Neodiprion lecontei: one gene and its partners. The protein of the gene in region 1 interacts with the protein of each later gene in a pairwise test. Links are inferred from orthologs where the notes say so. Each region holds a gene or a part of one and is shown in the gene's direction. Other genes may lie near its edges.

Evidence for each region.
Region 2: the proteins of armadillo segment polarity protein (region 1) and protein BCL9 homolog interact in binary tests that used the Drosophila melanogaster proteins (3 or more experiments, as listed by UniProt). The link is inferred for Neodiprion lecontei from reciprocal best matches to the Drosophila melanogaster genes arm and lgs.
Region 3: the proteins of armadillo segment polarity protein (region 1) and axin interact in a two-hybrid assay, tested with the Drosophila melanogaster proteins (2 studies listed by BioGRID). The link is inferred for Neodiprion lecontei from reciprocal best matches to the Drosophila melanogaster genes arm and Axn.
Region 4: the proteins of armadillo segment polarity protein (region 1) and catenin alpha interact in binary tests that used the Drosophila melanogaster proteins (3 or more experiments, as listed by UniProt). The link is inferred for Neodiprion lecontei from reciprocal best matches to the Drosophila melanogaster genes arm and alpha-Cat.

Annotation. Positions count from the first base shown.
Region 1 is NC_060261.1:41,591,275-41,596,135, forward strand, and holds the start of armadillo segment polarity protein, read left to right. Parts: upstream 1-1,819; 5' UTR 1,820-1,953; intron 1,954-2,826; 5' UTR 2,827-2,853; coding exon 2,854-2,890; intron 2,891-2,981; coding exon 2,982-3,212; intron 3,213-3,417; coding exon 3,418-4,212; intron 4,213-4,326; coding exon 4,327-4,595; intron 4,596-4,680; coding exon 4,681-4,861. UniProt on the Drosophila melanogaster protein: Isoform neural may associate with CadN and participate in the transmission of developmental information. Can associate with alpha-catenin.
Region 2 is NC_060264.1:35,193,397-35,198,124, reverse strand, and holds the start of protein BCL9 homolog, read left to right. Parts: upstream 1-1,682; 5' UTR 1,683-2,854; coding exon 2,855-3,152; intron 3,153-3,226; coding exon 3,227-3,468; intron 3,469-3,794; coding exon 3,795-4,080; intron 4,081-4,288; coding exon 4,289-4,653; intron 4,654-4,728. Other genes in the region: putative E3 ubiquitin-protein ligase UNKL, read right to left, coding at 564-794, 881-963. UniProt on the Drosophila melanogaster protein: Involved in signal transduction through the Wnt pathway.
Region 3 is NC_060261.1:3,714,799-3,719,788, reverse strand, and holds the start of axin, read left to right. Parts: upstream 1-1,973; 5' UTR 1,974-2,086; intron 2,087-3,724; exon of another isoform or gene 3,725-3,803; coding exon of another isoform or gene 3,804-4,024; intron 4,025-4,102; coding exon of another isoform or gene 4,103-4,168; intron 4,169-4,506; coding exon of another isoform or gene 4,507-4,596; intron 4,597-4,841; coding exon of another isoform or gene 4,842-4,902; exon of another isoform or gene 4,903-4,916; intron 4,917-4,990. Other genes in the region: uncharacterized protein LOC124292941, read right to left, coding at 3,804-4,024, 4,103-4,168, 4,507-4,596, 4,842-4,902.
Region 4 is NC_060265.1:18,568,769-18,573,413, forward strand, and holds the start of catenin alpha, read left to right. Parts: upstream 1-1,605; 5' UTR 1,606-1,693; exon of another isoform or gene 1,694-1,848; intron 1,849-2,412; 5' UTR 2,413-2,436; coding exon 2,437-2,753; intron 2,754-2,945; coding exon 2,946-3,678; intron 3,679-4,645. Other genes in the region: ESF1 homolog, read right to left, coding at 1-558. UniProt on the Drosophila melanogaster protein: Associates with the cytoplasmic domain of a variety of cadherins. The association of catenins to cadherins produces a complex which is linked to the actin filament network, and which seems to be of primary importance for cadherins cell-adhesion properties.

The DNA of each region.
Region 1 (4,861 bases):
GTCCGTTTTGCTCCGATTTACGTCTCGCTTAACTCACGACTTCGTTTTGTCGCGATCGTGCGGTAATAACACAAATTTCGTTTCGAAACGCTCCCCTAACGAGCGACACACGCTACACGCCAAGCGCGCGTGCTATATCGGTTGCATTCGTGTAGGCGCTTGTGGCACCTCCGATCGAGAATAACATGCGCCGATTTTAGAATCTTCGCAGCGTTTCGATAGTTACTTTCAAGAGCAAATAGAATCGCTGTAATTGAGAACGAAGAGATAATCTATCAGAATTGCTAAAATGGTATAATTACGAGCGATAAACGTAGCTGAAATTTCTGGAGTTACTATACTACGGTCATGTTACGCAGCTATAATACAACTATAATAAATCAACTTAGTTTCAAGCTAGACATTAGTCTGGCGTGTAAAACCGCGGCATAGCTACTTAAATAATGGTAATTGCAGGAACGCGAGAGTATAAATTCCACGGTTGATTCTTCGGTCAACTTGCTCAGGCTTATCTCGTTTCCACGTGGAGATTAAAAAGGAACAACTCCTTGTACAAAGTTAGCTAGATTTCAAACTGCGCAGTTCAAGCAATTCTCTGTGCTGTCGCGTTTCGTTCAGGTAAAATAGCGGTTCCCTATTATCCCTGCAAGGGTCGATTCTGACCATAAAAAGCTGGGAGCGGTTCGAGCGGCCTTCGTTTAGAAGCAAAATAGAAAAATCATACAATTTCATCTGAACGAGACTAGTTGGAGAAAAAAGTTATTCGCAGAATTTTAAATATCTCATCCATCGATAATAAACGAACAATCATTTATCTGAAATATATCTACAAACGCTGGCTTTTTGTTGCCATAATCATGTATGTTTGCTTAAGCTCGAACCCTATGGAGCACGCCACGTGATTATAGAAGATGTAGGCATCAGGGCGACTGTTTGTTGAAAGATGAAATATTTACGATTATTATATGTAAATGGAGAGATAAATCCAGTAGAATTTAACACAGAATAACTTTATTAACCAGTTAGGTATAACTGTTACTATACCTATACATTATGTAGATTCATACATGTTAAATCCTTATAAAAGTATGATTTACGCCTGTGGACGATGCACGAGGGAAGTTTCCCGGTCAATTATCATCTGCGAATTTCGTCACAAACTAAGAACATAAGCTAACATGAAATAAAGGAATAGTTCTGACGCGTATACCGCGCTTTTCTAATTCTCCGAATACCGTAGACTAGAGTCTGTAGTACGTATAGGAGTCACGCAATGCCGCCGATTAGTGTTCGGCTTAGTCAGCTGGGAATTCTCCGATTTCCAAACGATGTCCTCAGACCCGAATGATGAAAAAATCCGACAAAGAGTGAATGATGAAAAAGGCGTATGCAGAGAGCGTCGAGAGGCTCGTACGGCATCGAATTTATTGCCTATTTCGAGCACATGGAACAATTAGTCAAGTGGCAACACTCGGCACTTGATCGCTCGGTCCACTATCGGCGTAGTAACACAAAAAGGTTTCCTCCTAACCCAAAGATTCTACGGATCGTGACAGTTTGTTTTATTTTTTTCAATTCGAATTCTACCCAATCGTCCCATGATCCGAATCAGCGCCGTTGACCGGTTCCCCGAAGCTTCTGCGGGAGGCTGAAACTTCACGCATGCTTTGTACCGCCGACACGGCACAGTATATCGACTCGAGTCATATTATAGTGTGTCATACTCTAATCACCGCGTCTAAACATCGGGACTACTTTCTGCGCGGCGCAGGTCCTCGTCTCGTCGTAAAGGGCGCGCTGCGGCCGCTGGATCCGCCATGTTTAGTTGGCGGAGCGAGGAGGCAGTGCTTGGAAGGGGGAACTGGAAGCTGGCTGGTGTAAAGTGAGTCACTCGCGTAGTTTGACGGACGATATTCGCACGAATAACAATAATTATCGACCCTCTGGTAAACGGTAAGTGAAACAATGTTATCCTGCGTTATTCGCGCCCCCGGTCTCGCCCTCTGAGGCCTGATTATCCCCGATTTTCGTGTTTACGCCTGGGTGTGTCAAAAGTGCTTCCATTGCCCCCTTCCGATTGTCAGAAAATGGTGATGCATTGCATTCTTGAGCCCTTTGTTGTGCCGCAACACCCACGCGTACCCACGCTTCGGTTTCTTGGCCCACTCCGGGTATCACACTCGTTTAATACGCTTTATCGGTCCTTTTTCACCCTCTAAAGCAGTTCGTATGATCCCCGGCGTTTCGTCGATAAATTAAGTATGGAAAATAAAAAAAAAGAGAAATAGAAGGGAGAGTAAAAAAAAAAAAAACTACCTACCTATCGCTTTACTCGAACGGATATGTGCACCTGCGTGCATCTTGTACTATTCGCTTTGCTATTAGCGTGAATAGGTTTTTTGAGGATTGTGGTAGACATGTATTTTATTTTATTTATTATTTTTTTTTTATCATACATTTGTACATTTTTCTGCTTCGATCAGATATATGTTTTATATCTGTATGATTAAATACACTGGTGTTAATCTAAATATTACAAGTGCGTATTACGAGATACTTGTTATCTCACAATCGTTAGCTAGCTGGTAATATGAATCATAGGAGCGATGAGTCTGTTGTCAAATTTGCATAAGAATGAAAGTTACATAGCAGCTAGACATATGTACGTATATCTATATGCAGTTTGGTGTCTCTGAACAAAAAAAAGACGTGCTTTCATTAGTTGTAATTTGTGACATTTTAGACTGTTGCGTAATACACATTCAATACTAAACTTACTCCGATCGATCTGATACAAAATTACATAATAATCCCCATTTTATGCAGGTGTGGAGTGTTTCGCCCGTTGGAGCCATGAGTTATCAAATGACGTCGAATCAATCTAGACCCAGTAAGTACCATCTGATTTGAATTACAGGTCTGACCTTAGGGCCTTTCGATTTGAAGTTGAATCAATTTTCTGTTATATTCGTAACTTCCAGTGTCGCACGGCAGCTATCAAGGCCCGGCAGACCTACCGATGGGCTCTGCCAAAGAGCAGACTCTCATGTGGCAACAAAACTCCTACATGGGCGACTCGGGAATCCACTCAGGGGCTGCGACTCAGGCGCAGTCTCTGTCAGGAAAGGAAGATGACGATATAGAGGGAGACCAACTCATGTTCGACTTGGATCAGGGCTTCGCTCAAGGATTCACACAGGACCAAGTCGACGGTGAGGAAAATATTATTGAAATATTTATTACATATGGAAGAAAAAAACCCAAAATATTACGGAGTATTATTTCCTGCTTGAAATTACTACAAACTTCAGCCTCAGTTTAAAATAATTCTGTCAAGTTGTAAACAGCGAGGAGTACGTGTTAACGAATCTTGTAAAATTCAATTAAAATATTCAACAATCATTTTTATTTCAACAGAAATGAATCAACAACTGAGCCACACGAGATCACAGCGTGTACGCGCAGCAATGTTCCCTGAAACATTAGAGGAGGGTATTGAGATACCATCTACACAGTATGATCCAGCGCAACCAACCGCAGTTCAAAGACTGGCAGAGCCAAGCCAAATGTTGAAGCACGCAGTGGTCAACTTGATCAACTATCAGGATGATGCAGATCTGGCAACTCGTGCGATTCCAGAGTTGATCAAGCTCCTCAACGACGAGGATCAGGTTATAGTTTCGCAAGCTGCTATGATGGTGCATCAGTTGTCTAAAAAGGAAGCCTCACGACACGCTATTATGAACAGTCCCCAAATGGTGGCTGCTCTTGTACGAGCAATCTCAAACAGCAATGATCTTGAATCAACGAAAGCTGCGGTCGGAACTCTGCACAATTTGTCTCACCACAGACAAGGGCTTCTGGCTATTTTCAAAAGTGGCGGTATCCCTGCTCTTGTTAAGCTGTTGAGTTCACCAGTAGAGTCTGTATTATTCTACGCCATAACCACGCTTCACAATCTGCTGCTTCACCAAGACGGTTCTAAAATGGCCGTACGTCTTGCCGGTGGACTGCAGAAGATGGTTGCTCTTCTTCAGCGTAACAACGTGAAATTTTTGGCTATTGTAACTGACTGTCTCCAAATTCTCGCTTACGGCAATCAAGAAAGCAAGCTGATCATCCTCGCTTCTCAGGGACCAATCGAACTTGTACGAATTATGCGCTCTTATGAGTATGAGAAGCTCTTGTGGACAACCTCCAGAGTCTTGAAGGGTAAAATACAATCTAACAATATCTAGGGACTTATAGACAATATTCACTGAAATTATCCCTGCCACCTCTTACGCAACAATCATATTTCAATATGTATTCTCTTCTCTTCCTCAGTGCTGTCGGTGTGCTCCAGCAACAAACCAGCAATTGTCGAAGCTGGCGGTATGCAAGCCTTGGCAATGCATCTTGGAAACTCGAGTCCAAGACTGGTTCAGAATTGCTTGTGGACACTGCGAAATCTCTCTGACGCAGGAACAAAAGTTGACGGATTGGAGGGTCTGCTGCAAGGATTAGTGCAGGTGCTGACTTCAAGCGACGTAAACGTTGTCACATGTGCAGCCGGTATTTTGTCAAATTTGACATGCAACAATCAACGCAACAAGGTGCGTCAAATTTCTTACAGAGTAAGGAAATAAATGAGGTGAAGAAGCAAAATATTCACAAAAGTATCTTAAAAACTTATTTCAGGTCACAGTGTGTCAAGTTGGGGGAGTCGACGCACTTGTGCGCACTATTGTCAGCGCTGGTGATCGCGAGGAGATAACAGAGCCAGCAGTCTGTGCTCTCCGTCATCTAACTTCGCGTCACGTCGACGCCGAAATGGCCCAAAATTCGGTCCGCTTGAACTACGGCATTCAGGTCATAGTCA
Region 2 (4,728 bases), on another chromosome or scaffold:
TCGGTATACAGCAGGGATAACCAACTTGATCGGACCCGAGATCTATCGTTTACTGTCCAGACTCTGTGCGATCTACCAATCTCAAATCTTTACCGCAGAATTACAAGAAATATTTGTTTGACAGTTATGTATTTTTCTTTGCTTTGTCGCGATCGACTGGCCTGGTAGCCAGGATCGATCGATCGGTTGGCCATCCCTGGTATACAGTATGGATTTATTATTGGTGAACAAACAACTGTGTAGGATAAATGACAATAATATGAAAGAGTACAAGGCAGTGTTGGTTCTTTGTTGTTAGGATAAGTAGGAGAAAATCAATACCGACAGAGTTCCTTTGTGCAAAATCAGCTCCTGGCGTGTGTGAAAATAATGCGAAAATCGTGTGGAGAGCCGCGACGGCGTGAGAAATTGGCGGGTAGCGCGGTCCGAATGATGTAAGAAAATAATGTTCGAGCTTCCAAGGGTGGTTAAATATGGGCGACGATAAGAAAAAAAAGCGGGTGGGTGTTGGACGGAGGGTAAAGGGGGATGGGGATGGGGAGGGGAGATAAGGAAGTACTCACTCGTCTCCGTCGGGACAAAGGCCGGTTGTCTCATCGTACTTGGTGCAGTAATTGTCGGCGCTGTAATTGAAGGTCCGATCACGTTTTTTTACGGGCCTTCGTCGCCGCTGGTTCATAAAGTGCCAGTTGAAGCAGGTGAAGGGCCTGTGCTGGGTGCATTTGCGTTGTATAAAGAGGGGGCATTGTTCCACGCGGAATTCCTTCAAATATCTGGAATGCGAATCCACAGAACTACACATTATTCGTTGTACACTGGACCGTGAGCACTGCACCACTGTCTGTCGTCACACTCGGGGGCCCCGCCAGGCACTACTTACGTGTAATGATTCGCCTTTTCTGTTTGAGCTGTCAACAAAGGTTTTGATTCGGACTTCATCTTGCGAAACGATCTATCGAGCATCCCAGGGGCGCAGGGTACGCGTCGCGGTCCGCCAATCCCTGGCCGTCCCGTGCGTCACGTGACCCCCGAATAATCACGAGTTTCAAGGTCATTGGTGTTTTGGTACCGAACGTAAACACGCACTCATGCCGATGCGCTTTACCCCCCGCCTAACACACTTCTTTTATTGTCAAACGATAGGATGCTTTTATTACCGTTACTCGGTGATCGAATTCTATCGCCTATAAACGCGATGAAAATGTCTCCTCCTCAACGTTGCTTGTAGAATCTTGCGTAGTTCTAGCAACTATCCTGACTCGCACTGCAGTTCGATGCTGTCGCGTCTGTCGCTATTGCGCTTGTTCATATGCGTAATTTCTTTGTGTTGCGGCGTCACTGGTTCAACACGCACTAGTTGTCCGATATTGTTTCTACTGGGTCGCCGCTGATATCTCACGGTATGGATTTCAGCCGGAGATTCTTTCGTCACTTTTATCCTTTCATCGCTTTGTCTACGAATAGATCGGTCGATAATTTTTATTTTATTGTTATTTTTGTATCCAATTTTTATCTTTCACACATACCAGCCCGAGTAATGATTTTATAATGTTGCACACTTTTCGCCACGCATTTACGAGCGAGATAAAACGTTAGATGGCAGCACCTCGCGCTTGTGTTACTTTATCATATGGACTAACTATACAACGTTCGGTCGTGTTTCAAAATTTCGGGCACTGTCCGTGAACTATATTCGTTCCTTTTCCCATGGCTGAGTTACAAAATGAACTGCGGTAGCGCTGAAAATTCATGGACCTAATTCTCTAGAAGTGAAATAGAGATCACCAACAATCCAAGTAGAGCGGGTGAAACACAGAACCACCGATCATCGTCAGAACTCCCAGCAAATGGTTGAATGCACCGTACATAATATACATGGCAATACTGCACTTAATAGTGGCAGATCTGAACGAAAAATCTAGTAACAAAATCTGATATTGTATACCGTGTATACCCTTGATGAATTAACAATTGGCTAGGGGTTGGCAAGCGTGTTTGAAAAGAAATAAATAAGCAAAGCGACCATGAAGTGACAAATAAAAGCTGAAGAAACACAATGCTGAGGTTCTAGGCGGTGAAAATCAAGTGTAACGTCGTCGATCGGTGGACAAGCCTCAATAACAGTAATACCGGCGTCTGTATAACGGATAAAAAATTTTCCACGGCCGAAGGCATGCAGACCTCGGTAATCCGAGGCTTTATGGGCTGACATTTCGGCCTCTCGACTCTCGCGACTCTGAACTCAATCCGCCGTCGAGCGGAGCGTTTTACCATCAACCCAGTTCTCCCAGTGCCTATAAAATCGGATAATAAACAACTGTCCGTGCGAACAAGTGCGACGTATCCTGCGTGAAGTAAAGCAATTTCAACCTCCATTCTCGCATCAGGTGATTCCTCCCCCGCGTCCCAGCCGAACAATAACACTCTGCTGGCCGAAGGTGAAGCCAAAACATGCTTCTGGTCGGGGACACGCTGCTGCCTTGATCAGTGCACGTAATACGTAGTTCCTACATACTTTTTTTAAAAATTTATTCTCACTTCGCATATCACGAGTTTTTCAGTTTTGTGCTTTTCTCGCGCGTGTGTGTGCTCGAGTGTGGATATTGGATATTCTTATTTTTATTTCTTTTCATCTTTTCGCTCCTGTGTTTTTTTGGGTATTTTTTTTTTCCAATCTTTCTTGACGGACAAGAGATCTAAAGAATATCTTGAGTTAATCATTGGATGTTGTATCGGTGGAATTGTATCCTTAATCATGGATGGATTGAAAAACTAGACTGGCCATGCTGCTCAGTGGTGAAAAAGTATCAACAGCCGTTTGACGTCGTCGTCGCTCGTCTCCGATAATACGAAAATGAAAACGGAGAAAAAATCGAGCGAAGCAACGTGCGTTACGACCACCGTCGTCAAGGAGGAACCTGATACAGATTCGGTTAAAATAAAGGAGGAGTCCGGGGTAGCAGGAACTGGCAATAATGAGAACACCATCAGGGAGGAATCGACGGAATGCCAAAGGGATTCAAACATCGATCCCAATCACACGGATGGCACTATGTCTCAAGAAAATCAAAATAGTACTAATAATCAATCCATACTTGGCTCTGTAAAACAGGAAAATGAACAGAACCATCCTGGCGATGATCTGCAAAATGGTGCGCACTCGGTATCTTGGTTAATTTTTCACCTTGGGCATAGATTAACGATTACTATTTATTATTTTACCCAGACTGCGCAGCAAGCGTTGGACTCTCGTCTGACGGAATTCAACCCCTAGTGAGCAATGTGCTTGCCAAGCAAATGGGCACTGGCACAGGCGGAGGGGATGCTCAGTACATGCAACAGCAGAGCCAGATATTTGTATTTTCTACTATGCTGGCAAATAAAGGCGCAGAAGCGGTTTTGCAGGGACAATTCCCATCGATAATTGCTTATCATTGCGCACAGCCAGGCACCAAGAAGTATCTGGAGGTACGTAGGCAGGATCGTCACAAATCTGGAAAGTCAGGAAAAGTCAGGGTATTTTATTTAAATTTTGAAATATAATATACCTTTAAGTCATTAATTGCAGAAATTGCTCCCTTTTATCGTAACTTGTTAACTTTTTTATTCTTCCAATGATTCAATAATTTTCTATCAAATTAAACTTGATAATGACAGATATCAATATTGAAGCATAGTTGAGACCACCATAGCGTATTGATTTATTTTGTAAACCACTGAGCGAAGATAGCAATTGGTATATTTCTGCAGATTATTGAAATAGAAGGATTTTTTTATCACCATTGTCGTTTCAGAAACACCCTAGTAAGGTGAACCAGTTCAGACCAAACCCTGCCCAGTGGTTGAATAATCTAGCGATGATGAAGCAGAAAGGCCAACAGGGCGGGCCGAATAGTGCTTTTCCCACCGAGCAGCCGCCGGACCTTCCTGCACTTGAGCCCAATGCGCCTCCGTTTTGGAATGAGCAAAGTACAATCAGAAACTTGAATGGCAGTAGCTCAATGGGCAACCCAGACTCCTCCCTCGACGATAACAATATCGATGTGCCTTGCCTTGTGCCGAACTCCCCTAACAACCCAGGTATTACCGCTAATAATTGAGTTAGACCAAACGAAATTCGACTATCCGTTTTTTGACCGAAAGTAATAAAAATGAACGAATGTTGAATGTTGTTTGGAGAGCGGTGAATCGTATTTTTAATTGGCTGCCCGGAGCTTAGAAGGGCTATGGAAAAGCAGCGGTTGTATGTATATGATTGATGACGTCAACGATTTTTGATCCTGGACAGGTAACTCTCAGCCACCAACTAGCACCGCATTGGGCCACAGCCCAAGCCTCCTGGGGGCACCGAACAGTCCTGGTTCCTCAGGTCTGCAGCCTTCTCTGCAGGGTGTCAAGGTACCTGACGAGAATTTGACCCCTCAGCAACGTCTGCACCGTGAAGAGCAGCTTGCCACTATAAGAAAAATGCATATGATGCTTTTCCCCGAGCGCAAAGACGAAGGCCCTGCTGCTGGCGGCTTGGACCCTACCCAAGGGCCTCCTCAGGCACCTGCACAAGGCGCGGGGAATGTTTCTAGCGGCCCTTTAGCAGGCCCGCCTGCCGTTGACTGGCACAAATTGCAACACCACTTTTTTGACGGCAAAAATAAGGTCTATATTAGTTGATTCTATGGTAGTCAGATGCTCCGATTCAATGTTTCAGAGGTTAAAATATGAACATCTCGT
Region 3 (4,990 bases), about 38 Mb from region 1:
TTTTTTTTTTTTTATTTCAATTTTTTTCTCGGTAAATAGGTCCTTTTAAGACCAAAGATTGGATAGGTTAGCTTTTTTGGCTCACCCCAGTATGTATGCATGTATATATGTATGTACGTGTGACAAGTTTTTTCTAACAATTATCACGTTTCACAACGCAAAGCGCATATTTCCCAGAGTAGAATCGAGTGCTATATTATTCTGCATGCCTACCATATTTAATATACACGTGCGTAAAAAATGTGTGTAATAACATCCAGCAATCAGATAGTACATTATAGTTTAGGCAAGGCATAATTATTGTGTGACGTATAAAGATTTTGTTTGTATTCGACACAAACTTCACTGTAAATAGTAAGGCGCGAGACAATTCCGAGAAAATCGAACGAGGAAAATTTGTGCGTACTCGTATACGTTGTACTTTTCAAATTAACGGTAAACTTAATTATCGCCAGCTCTGTATGGAATCTCGTTACCGACAATTTTTTTTTCTTCTCTTCATGTTTTCACTCTCCACGCAATTCTAAAAACAGACGTATTACGATATTGCAAGTTATTAATATTTTATAATTAATTTTCATCGAAAATAATCAGTTTGTTATTTTTATAATTTCTCTCCCGATTGTAAAATGTCGGACCTTGTCGAGGCCTCCGTCTACAATTCGTAGTGATAATTGCCGATTATAACGGTGAAGTGAGAGCCCAATTTGACCTGAAAAAGGTTGCGAACACAGAATTTCCTCTTGGTGGTGGGGGAACAAAGGACGTCGCATCCAGGTATGCGTTCAGGTACCTTTGGGAAAAGTTGGAAATTATATGAAAATATGCAATGCTTTATTCTTGTTGAATGTAAATATTTTCGAATATTAAGTGTATGGCGAAATATTACTATTCGACAATGGAGGATAACCTGAAACTGAAAATAAATTTTTTTACGAGGAGATTGAATATGAAAGAAGCATACACGAGAACTTTCGCAAGTCGATATTTACATTTTATTAATATTAATTTTTTTTTACATCGCAGCTTATTTTTCATCATTTAATGTCTCACCTATGGAGTCTTGCGCAAATTGGGATAATTCAAGTCGTCGTAGAAACATGCGAAATCATCCCGGTATCTGGTGTAAATATGTAACGAATGCAGAAATTAGCTCCCATTTAGTGCTGTCAGCAATCTTTTATCTCTTTGGCGCCGCAGTTCGCGAGGAGCTTTGCCTCTGTCCTAAGAAGTTTTCACCGTTGCCATCTAATTTCGAATTCTTTAAAAGAATTGACATTAAACAAGAACAACGTATTGCATTCTGATTGGTTGATTAAACTTTGCAAACCAATGAGAACGCTTGCCTGGTAGGAAGTGTGAAATCACATTATCTTGACCCTGAGCGGCAGCTCGCAAAGATCGTTGAATTGGCGGCTAAAAATTTTAACGCGGTTCGGCTATACCTGGAAAAGTCCTTCTACAGTTCTCATTGTCCCTTCTGCAGATGCAAGTATTTTTATTAAGTACCTTGAGACAGCTGCAGCTGCACAATGATGGTCACTAGAGGTGTGCGGGTACTGAAATTTTTCGGGTCGTGTACCTGAGAATCTCGAGTTCCTCAAGAATGTTGGGTTTTCCGAAAATTTTGCTCGTATCTATTTTCGCTTCTCCAAAAATATCGGGATTTCTAAAGTGAACGGAGATTTTCGAAGATTTCGGATTACCCGAAGTTTTCAAATTACCCGATGTTTTTAGATTACCCGAAGATTTCCGGTTTGCCAAAAAACCCGACCCGAACCCGACTTCGAGTACCCGAAATTTCGATTACCTTTCATTTTAATCTTTTGATCACCTCGTGCTCAGCACAGAAACTTATTAAAGTCTCGGACGTTACAGTAAGGCGAGACATGATTACCATGCACCATTTTTGAACTGATTTTACTTTTTCCTTCCTAACATTTCTCTCTTTATATCTTTCAGAAAAAAAATTATTACGCAGCCCTCGAGACTCGAATAAAACGAACGTGGCTCGAAGACTTAATTGCCAAGCTTGGAATCGAAATAAGGTGTTTCAAATGAGGCGAGGCTACGTCTATAAAATAAGGTAAACGAGTCTTATTATTTTTTTAAGGTATCGAATTTGACGATTCGAAAGCATAAATACCATGATTATTTTTCTCATCACGCGACCTATGATGTTTAACAATATTCAGGCAAGTAAATTATGCCAAATTTATATGCCCATAATTTCGATTTTTATCGTTATTCATTTTTCATTCTCCGTGCATATTTTCTTCTAACGTTTTGATGAAAGTCTTGTACTTTCAGCAAAGCCCAAATTTTTGTCTTTCACAGGACATCCACCTGTGTAATCGGTTCTTTGAACAGTGATAATCGTTCCAGTTTTCTTATTCAAAACATGCGACATATGCATCACAGCCCTTTTTCCGCTGCAGGGATCTTCCTCCGTTATTTTTGTGTTGTATTGCTTAACGTCTGGTGATATCTCTGGAAATTACATCAACGTTTATTATCTAAACCGAATACTTATATTACTCTGCACGAACTTCACTCGTCAGTCTTGCACCTGTAGAATTACTGGACTTTGTCAACAAGCCAGTAACTCGGATCCGATTAGTTAGCAACTATAACACATGGACACGAAATTTATTACATCACCTTTTTCCACCGTTTCCATAAGTGGTCGTGATGTTATTTTCGATGTATCCAGGGTAGTGTCGTGAGGTATTCCAAAACTCTTTCCTTTGGAAACGGTTGATAGAGACGTCATATTCATCACTAAAGAACGGTATTTGTTCAAATTTACTCTTCGAGTGATTTAATTAGCGAAACGTACCGCAAAGTTACACTAACAATTATACAACAAGGCTTGACTTACGATAGTCCTCCATGTCCACTTCCAATTCGTCCTCGTTTACGTCGCAGGCGGACATTTTGGCTGTAAATTGAAGAGTGAAGGGAAAACTCCTGGGATTAAACCGCACCGAAAAAGTTAAATAAAAAAATATCTTCCCTTTTTTGGGGGGTGATCGTGACGGCTGTAACGGAAATCATTGTTCATGGTTTCGATGCTTCTAAACGCGGGTTTAGAGTTCGAAAAGAGAAATGCAAGGTTATAACCAATGCCGAACGAACCACCAGCTACAATGCAATTCCAGTCAACTAAATTACGGTATATCATTGAAATTTTAATAGTCAATTTCCGACACATCACATTCGCCACTTTCTGATACGATCATCCTCAAAGTTCCATAATCAATTGCAATGCAATTCCGTCCCTTTAATTTACCGTGCTTTTTTCCCTGACTTCCACATCCGGATCTCTTCATTCTTGGTTTTAATGTCTTGGTGATTTTTTTTTTTTTCTTTTTGTTTATTCAACCTGGGTTAATAATCTCAAGACTGGAAAATATTTACATCAATTTCGAATTTGGTTAGTTTAGAATTTGGAGACAAAAATTTGTTTCATCGATACCAAGCTGTTAACACGACATCTGTTTTCAGATCATCTTTGTTTTTTTTACCATTGCTACTCAGTTTCTATATACATTTGTATTTTCGATTTCGTCCTAATCCTCTAATCAAGCAACCAAATCAGTAATTATATCGTGATAGAAACTCATTAGTTTTTTATACACAACATACGGATGGAATTGGTGATATAATGAACAAAGAAGGATATACGTAAATGGACAAATTCATGCGATTTATTATTATCGTGAAACGTTCCTTGTCACAGAGACGTTCTACTGTTGATAATTGAATTGTTTTTTTTTTTTTCTATCAACGTTTTACAATTTTCAATAAAACCCGTTTCCGTTGTCGTCGTCCATATTAAGCCATCTCCTAGCAATGTCGATTCTGTGCCTTGTTCCATTCGGCTTTTCATCAATTTTACGATCCAATTGCATAATTTGACACCCCTCGTTGTCCCTGACATCACTGGTGTGTCTCAATCTTCGTCCGAATTTCAAGCACTCTTCGAACGTTACGTTGAACATTTTAGACCCGTCAGGCATTTCTAAACAATTTATTTTCATCATTTTCATGCTTCATCCGTTTCAAACAACATTCGAATTCCGAGTAAAACATTAATTACCAAAGGCTTCTGCTCTGGTTGTTCTTTGATTCCTTTTCGGTGTACTTGTATACATTTTGTAATCATCTATTGAATCGGAAAAACATTTTTCATTAGTTCTCGAAGCAGAAAAAAATTTCTACCACTACGAATTTTTACAGAAATTTCAACACTTCGTATTATATCTTAAAAAAAAATTGTAAACATGCATAATTTTTCTTAAAGAATTATTAATTTTCGTTAAAAATCGTAACAGCTTGTAGAGTTTTTTTTTGAAACAATAGATAGTTTCATGAAAATCTACAAGCTTTTACAAGTACGACAATAATTTTTTGCACAATGTCGTACGAAATGACCCGATTTTCCGGAAAAATTTCGTAGAAAATTGTAGCAATCATTTTCACCGGGGTAGTTTGATGGCTTACCGCTATTTTCTGCTCTTCCGTAGGTGCTACCCGGAAGATGATAACCTTCCGCCATGCTGTTTGGTCGGTTTCTCTCAGCTCTGTTTTCGACTGAAACAAAGCAATTATGTAATTCTATACGATCTTACGTAATCGGAGTCGGGTGTTAAACACGTTTGCTGGATTCTTATTCTAGCCTAAAGTATTAGGCCTGACACTCGAAACCGAGAATCTCGTCGCAGAGTCAGGGCATTTTATTCCTTGGCTTGAAAAAATTCCGATTACGATAAAGTTAATTTTAGTTTACTTGGTAAAAATTAGTAAAAAGAATACCGCAGAGCTGCATAATTACTCACGATACGACATTATGTCTGATTCGTAATCCTGTGTAGAATCGTGCATGTAGTCAGCCTCCATGCAGGAAAAATCCTCTGGGAATTGATAAATAGTTGCTCTAATTGCACCGGTAACAAATCTTACTTTTTTTTTTTTTTTTAAGCTAAAC
Region 4 (4,645 bases), on another chromosome or scaffold:
TGGATCTGCGCCGTTCTCAAAATCCATAGTAACTTTAGAAATTGATTCCAATTCATCCTCAGATTTAGAATATTCATTTTCATCATTTTCGGATTCTGATACTAAGTCACTGTCAGCTTGGGTTTTAGTACGCAGCAGTTCTCCATTTCCCAACAAATGGGCTACTTTGGTAGTGCGTTTTATCTTGCTTTTTGATTTTCGGTCAGACAGATTTTGTAAATGATCCAATCTATCTCCGTTCATGCCAGTAACACTTTTAGGCTTTACATCTTTTCGTACCTTGTTTTCAATATTAGTTGATTTGACATTCTCATCACTACCTGACTCTTCATCATCATTGCTTGACAAATGGTAATACTTTTTTAAATTTTCATTCGACGACTGATTACTCGGTCTTCCTCTTTTATCAATAGTATACTTCAGAAGAAACTTTTTGTCATTAAACATAGGCCGAAATCTCTTGTCAATTTTTACTTTTCGCTCAGTTTTAGGAATGCGTCTGAATCTCGGATCTTTTGCAACATGTGCAAATCGCGCATCATCCAGTACGTTATCCATAATTATTGATACGCAGAGTACCTAAGAACAGAACTAATTAATTCACTAATCTGGCATGTAAAGTTTTAACAACTGACTACTGTCGGATTCGTTTATAAGGATAAATTCCTTATTTCTTGAGCAAAAAATTAAACAACTGTGTGCAACACGGCGCCTTGACATAACCTATCTTAAGACCTCACGTGCCTCACGCGCGGTCTTACATACAGGCCTGAAACTCTGCTAATTTTAAGCGGTGCGGATTGTCGTCGTAGTTGTGACCCACGGTCGTATACACAGGTCTCGGCACTCAGGCTGTAAAACCGTGCTCGAAAATGAAGCCGATGTTGTGAATTTTTGCCGCTAGCGCTAGTGAGGGAGAGGCCTACTTAGCACGCAAGCGCACGGAGAAAAAGACAGCTGCCCTATATTCCCCTCTTTGCTGCACACAGGCCTCGGAGATTGCAGCGATCCGGACTTTGGTGTACAAATTGAGAAAGACAGGCTTCAAGACGGTCACGCTGCGTTATATAGGAAGGGGCTTGGAGTGCCCAGACCTGTCTATAAGACCGTGGTGTGACCAAACTGTGTTCCTGATTTGTCCACTAGCTACGCTGTCGTACTACGGTATTATAGATATAGATGCCACGGACGGTCAACAAACTGCTTCCATTTCTTTCGCACAGCCTGGATCCCTCAATAGCAGCGACACACGTGGTCACTAGGCGAAACGGCCAGTGCTTCAATAAGAGAACACATCCCGACCACCAAAGTTCCCAGACCCTGTATGTAAGACCGTGCTACCGACTGTGCATCTAGCTGTATCTGCGCGATCGAATCTAGTGTCTAGCATCTAGAAATAGTTGGGAGTGCCGTTGACGTCACAGCGGGCCGGTCGCATGTACACACGAGTGGTTGCAGCCAATCACTACTACCAGGTGTATGTGATTCGTCACCTTCTATAGTAGACGGATTTCTATTCGCTCTGAGACCAACTGCTGAAAACCCGGTTGGATGATTAAAATTCTGCTTAGGTAAAATGTCGCTCATATTCTTTGTATCTCTTCGTCCCTGGTTCGGGCGTAGACCGTGCTCCCCTCCCTGCGCCTGCCGCACCATTTCCGATTGAAGACAGCAATGACGTCATGAACGAAAGGTGTGTGATAAATCGAGGTGACATCAAGCTTCTCGTGGTAAAACTGGTCATCAGCAAGTAGATAAATCGATTGCAATTAGAGTTCAAGTAAAATATAAATTTATCACTAGTGATTGTGAAAAGTGCGAACAGTTAGTTTTTCGTATCTTATGAAGGTCAGTATAATAGCGAGGCGATTGTGTCGCCCATTGGTTGTGATACTCAACATTAGCTAATGCATTTTCGTATGATGAGTCAAGATGCATTCCTGGAACTTTTTATCAGTCCCTTTGATATTCCATTTGACTTTGTGTATGCACCCATTTTCCAGTGATAAATGTGGAATTTAAAAATCACTTTGGAAATCCTGAAAGTACTCATGCTGCCTAATTGGTTTTGAAAAGTTTATTCAGTTCTGAGCTTCTGCAATTCTTAACGACTTCAATCTTCAAAGTTATCCTGGATACATTTTATCAGTTATCTTCGTATTCAAGTTTAAAATTCAGCCTCAGGAAACGCGCTGTGTAATAAAAATAAAAGTTCAAGTCTCAACTCCAGATTGATGTGTAGACTTCACTGACGATTTGACATTTCCTTACTTAGTCACTAACTTTGGTAGCATACTCATTGATTGACTTCCGAAACCTGCTTCTTATGATCATCTACATTACGTAGTCTGAAAATTGAGGTCATCAGTTTCATAGGCAAATCAATAACCGAACCCCAATTTACTATTTCAGAGCAGTACTCGATAAGGAGTAAAAATGTCGGATCACTTTGGGCCAATAACATTAAAATGGGATCCCAAGAATTTGGAGATTCGAACAATGTCTGTAGAAAAAACGTTGGAGCCATTAGTTCTGCAAGTAACTACTTTAGTTAATACCAAAGGTCCAAGCAAAAAGAAGAAGGGCAAATCTAAACGTGCCAGTGCCTTGGTTGGAACAGTTGAAAAAGCTACAACTAACTTCATTGAAAAGGGAGAGCAGATAGCATATGAAAATCCTGATATTACGGCTGAAATGCTTAGTGCCGTTGAAGAAGTGAGAAAAACAGGAGCTGCGATGAGCATTGCTGCTCGGTCAGTACAGTTGAATTAATTTTGTTGATTGAAACTTGTAGAAGTTTGAGAAAAGTTTTTCATAACTATCAAACCTAGTTTTCTTAAGTTCTTTGTTGAATTAATTGTATTTAATTTAATACAGTAATATTTCACAGATATTCAAAGATTTGGTCTATTCAGTTTATTCGAAGTTTTAACTTTTTAATTCAGGGAGTTTTCAGAAGATCCTTGTTCTTCGCTGAAGCGAGGTAACATGGTACGTGCAGCAAGGAATCTTCTATCTGCTGTCACACGTCTTCTAATATTGGCAGACATGGTTGATGTGCATTTGCTTTTAAAATCTCTGCATGTGGTTGAAGACGATTTAGAGAAGTTGAAAAATGCTTCTTCCCAAGGCGAGCTATTGGAGAATATCAAGCAGTTTGGCAGAAATGCCTCAGAGCTTATGAATCAAGCAGCTAAACGTCAGCAAGAACTTAAAGATCCCCAACTTCGTGATGACTTAGCAGCTGCCAGGGCTGTTCTCAAGAAACATTCAACGATGCTTTTAACAGCTTCTAAAGTCTACGTTCGACACCCAGAACTAGCTGCTGCTAAAGCTAACAGAGATTACGTTTTGAAACAAGTCTGCGAGGCTGTTAATACTATAAATGATGTAGCACAGGGGAAAACACCAACAGATGGCCAGCATCCGTATGATGGACCAGGAGAGTTGGCTGCAGCTCTTGATGATTTTGATGAAAGAATGGCAATGTCACCCCTGGCTTATAACGAAGTACGCACTCGTCCCAGTCTGGAGGAAAGGTTGGAAAGCATTATTAGTGGAGCTGCACTCATGGCTGATTCTTCATGTACAAGAGATGAGCGCAGGGAACGGATTGTTGCTGAGTGCAACGCAGTTAGACAAGCACTGCAAGATCTACTCAGCGAATACATGAACAACGTAAGTATTAATATGTCTAATTTACAACTTTTATCGACATTCAAACATCATGAGATTCTTTAACTTATCAGTTATTTGATTTTAAAGGGAGATCTCACTGCGATTCCAAATTATTTCAATCGCAATGATATTTTCCCCACCAATAAGGTTTCGCAAACCAAATCTTTTTATATTTATTTGGATTGATTGTACACAGTATGTTTCTAGATATTGGTTTACACAATTTCAAAAATTAGTGATCTTTGATTTTCTCGTTTCATCAACCTTTCACTAAAATTTGAAATGACTTCATAGCTGTCCTGGTAAGATCAAGCAGGAAAGTTACTATCCAAATCGCAATTTGATAATCTACTATGAAATTATGTCAGTTTCTTGCTATTGAGAATAGTCACACTAATTTTCAATTGAAGAAAGTGTGCTGATTTGGTCACATTTAATTTTAGAAATAATTTTGATTTTAATTCTTAAGATATTTATTTTATTCTTTTATCATTTAAACTTTGTTCTACATATTATTGGCACAGTTTGATAATTGATCATCAAATGAGAAGTAAAATTGAAAAAAAAAAAAAAAAAAATAACAACCTTTCTTACTTGTGCTACAAAGATAGCTATGCAATTAATGACCATTTTAACGAAACAAATTGCTATGCAAAAAGTCTCTTCGAGAACACAAAGTTTCGACAACATTGAAACCAATATTTAACACACTCAATGCAATAAATCCAAACTGGTGTGAATCTTTGTTGATGGTTAAAATTTGATGTCAATCGACAAATCTTCGAGTTTTGCTGATGTGTCCCCTAAAGAAAAGAATAATTAGACAACGACGCTTATCGTGTCTTTTATCGCATAATTTGAAAGTCCCCTTCTGTATCATTTTTTATCCCAAAACAATTTCAGGATAGAAATACAGCTGAGAATTCGTCATTTAAAGTATCAATTACATTTTGAATTATAGTTTGTA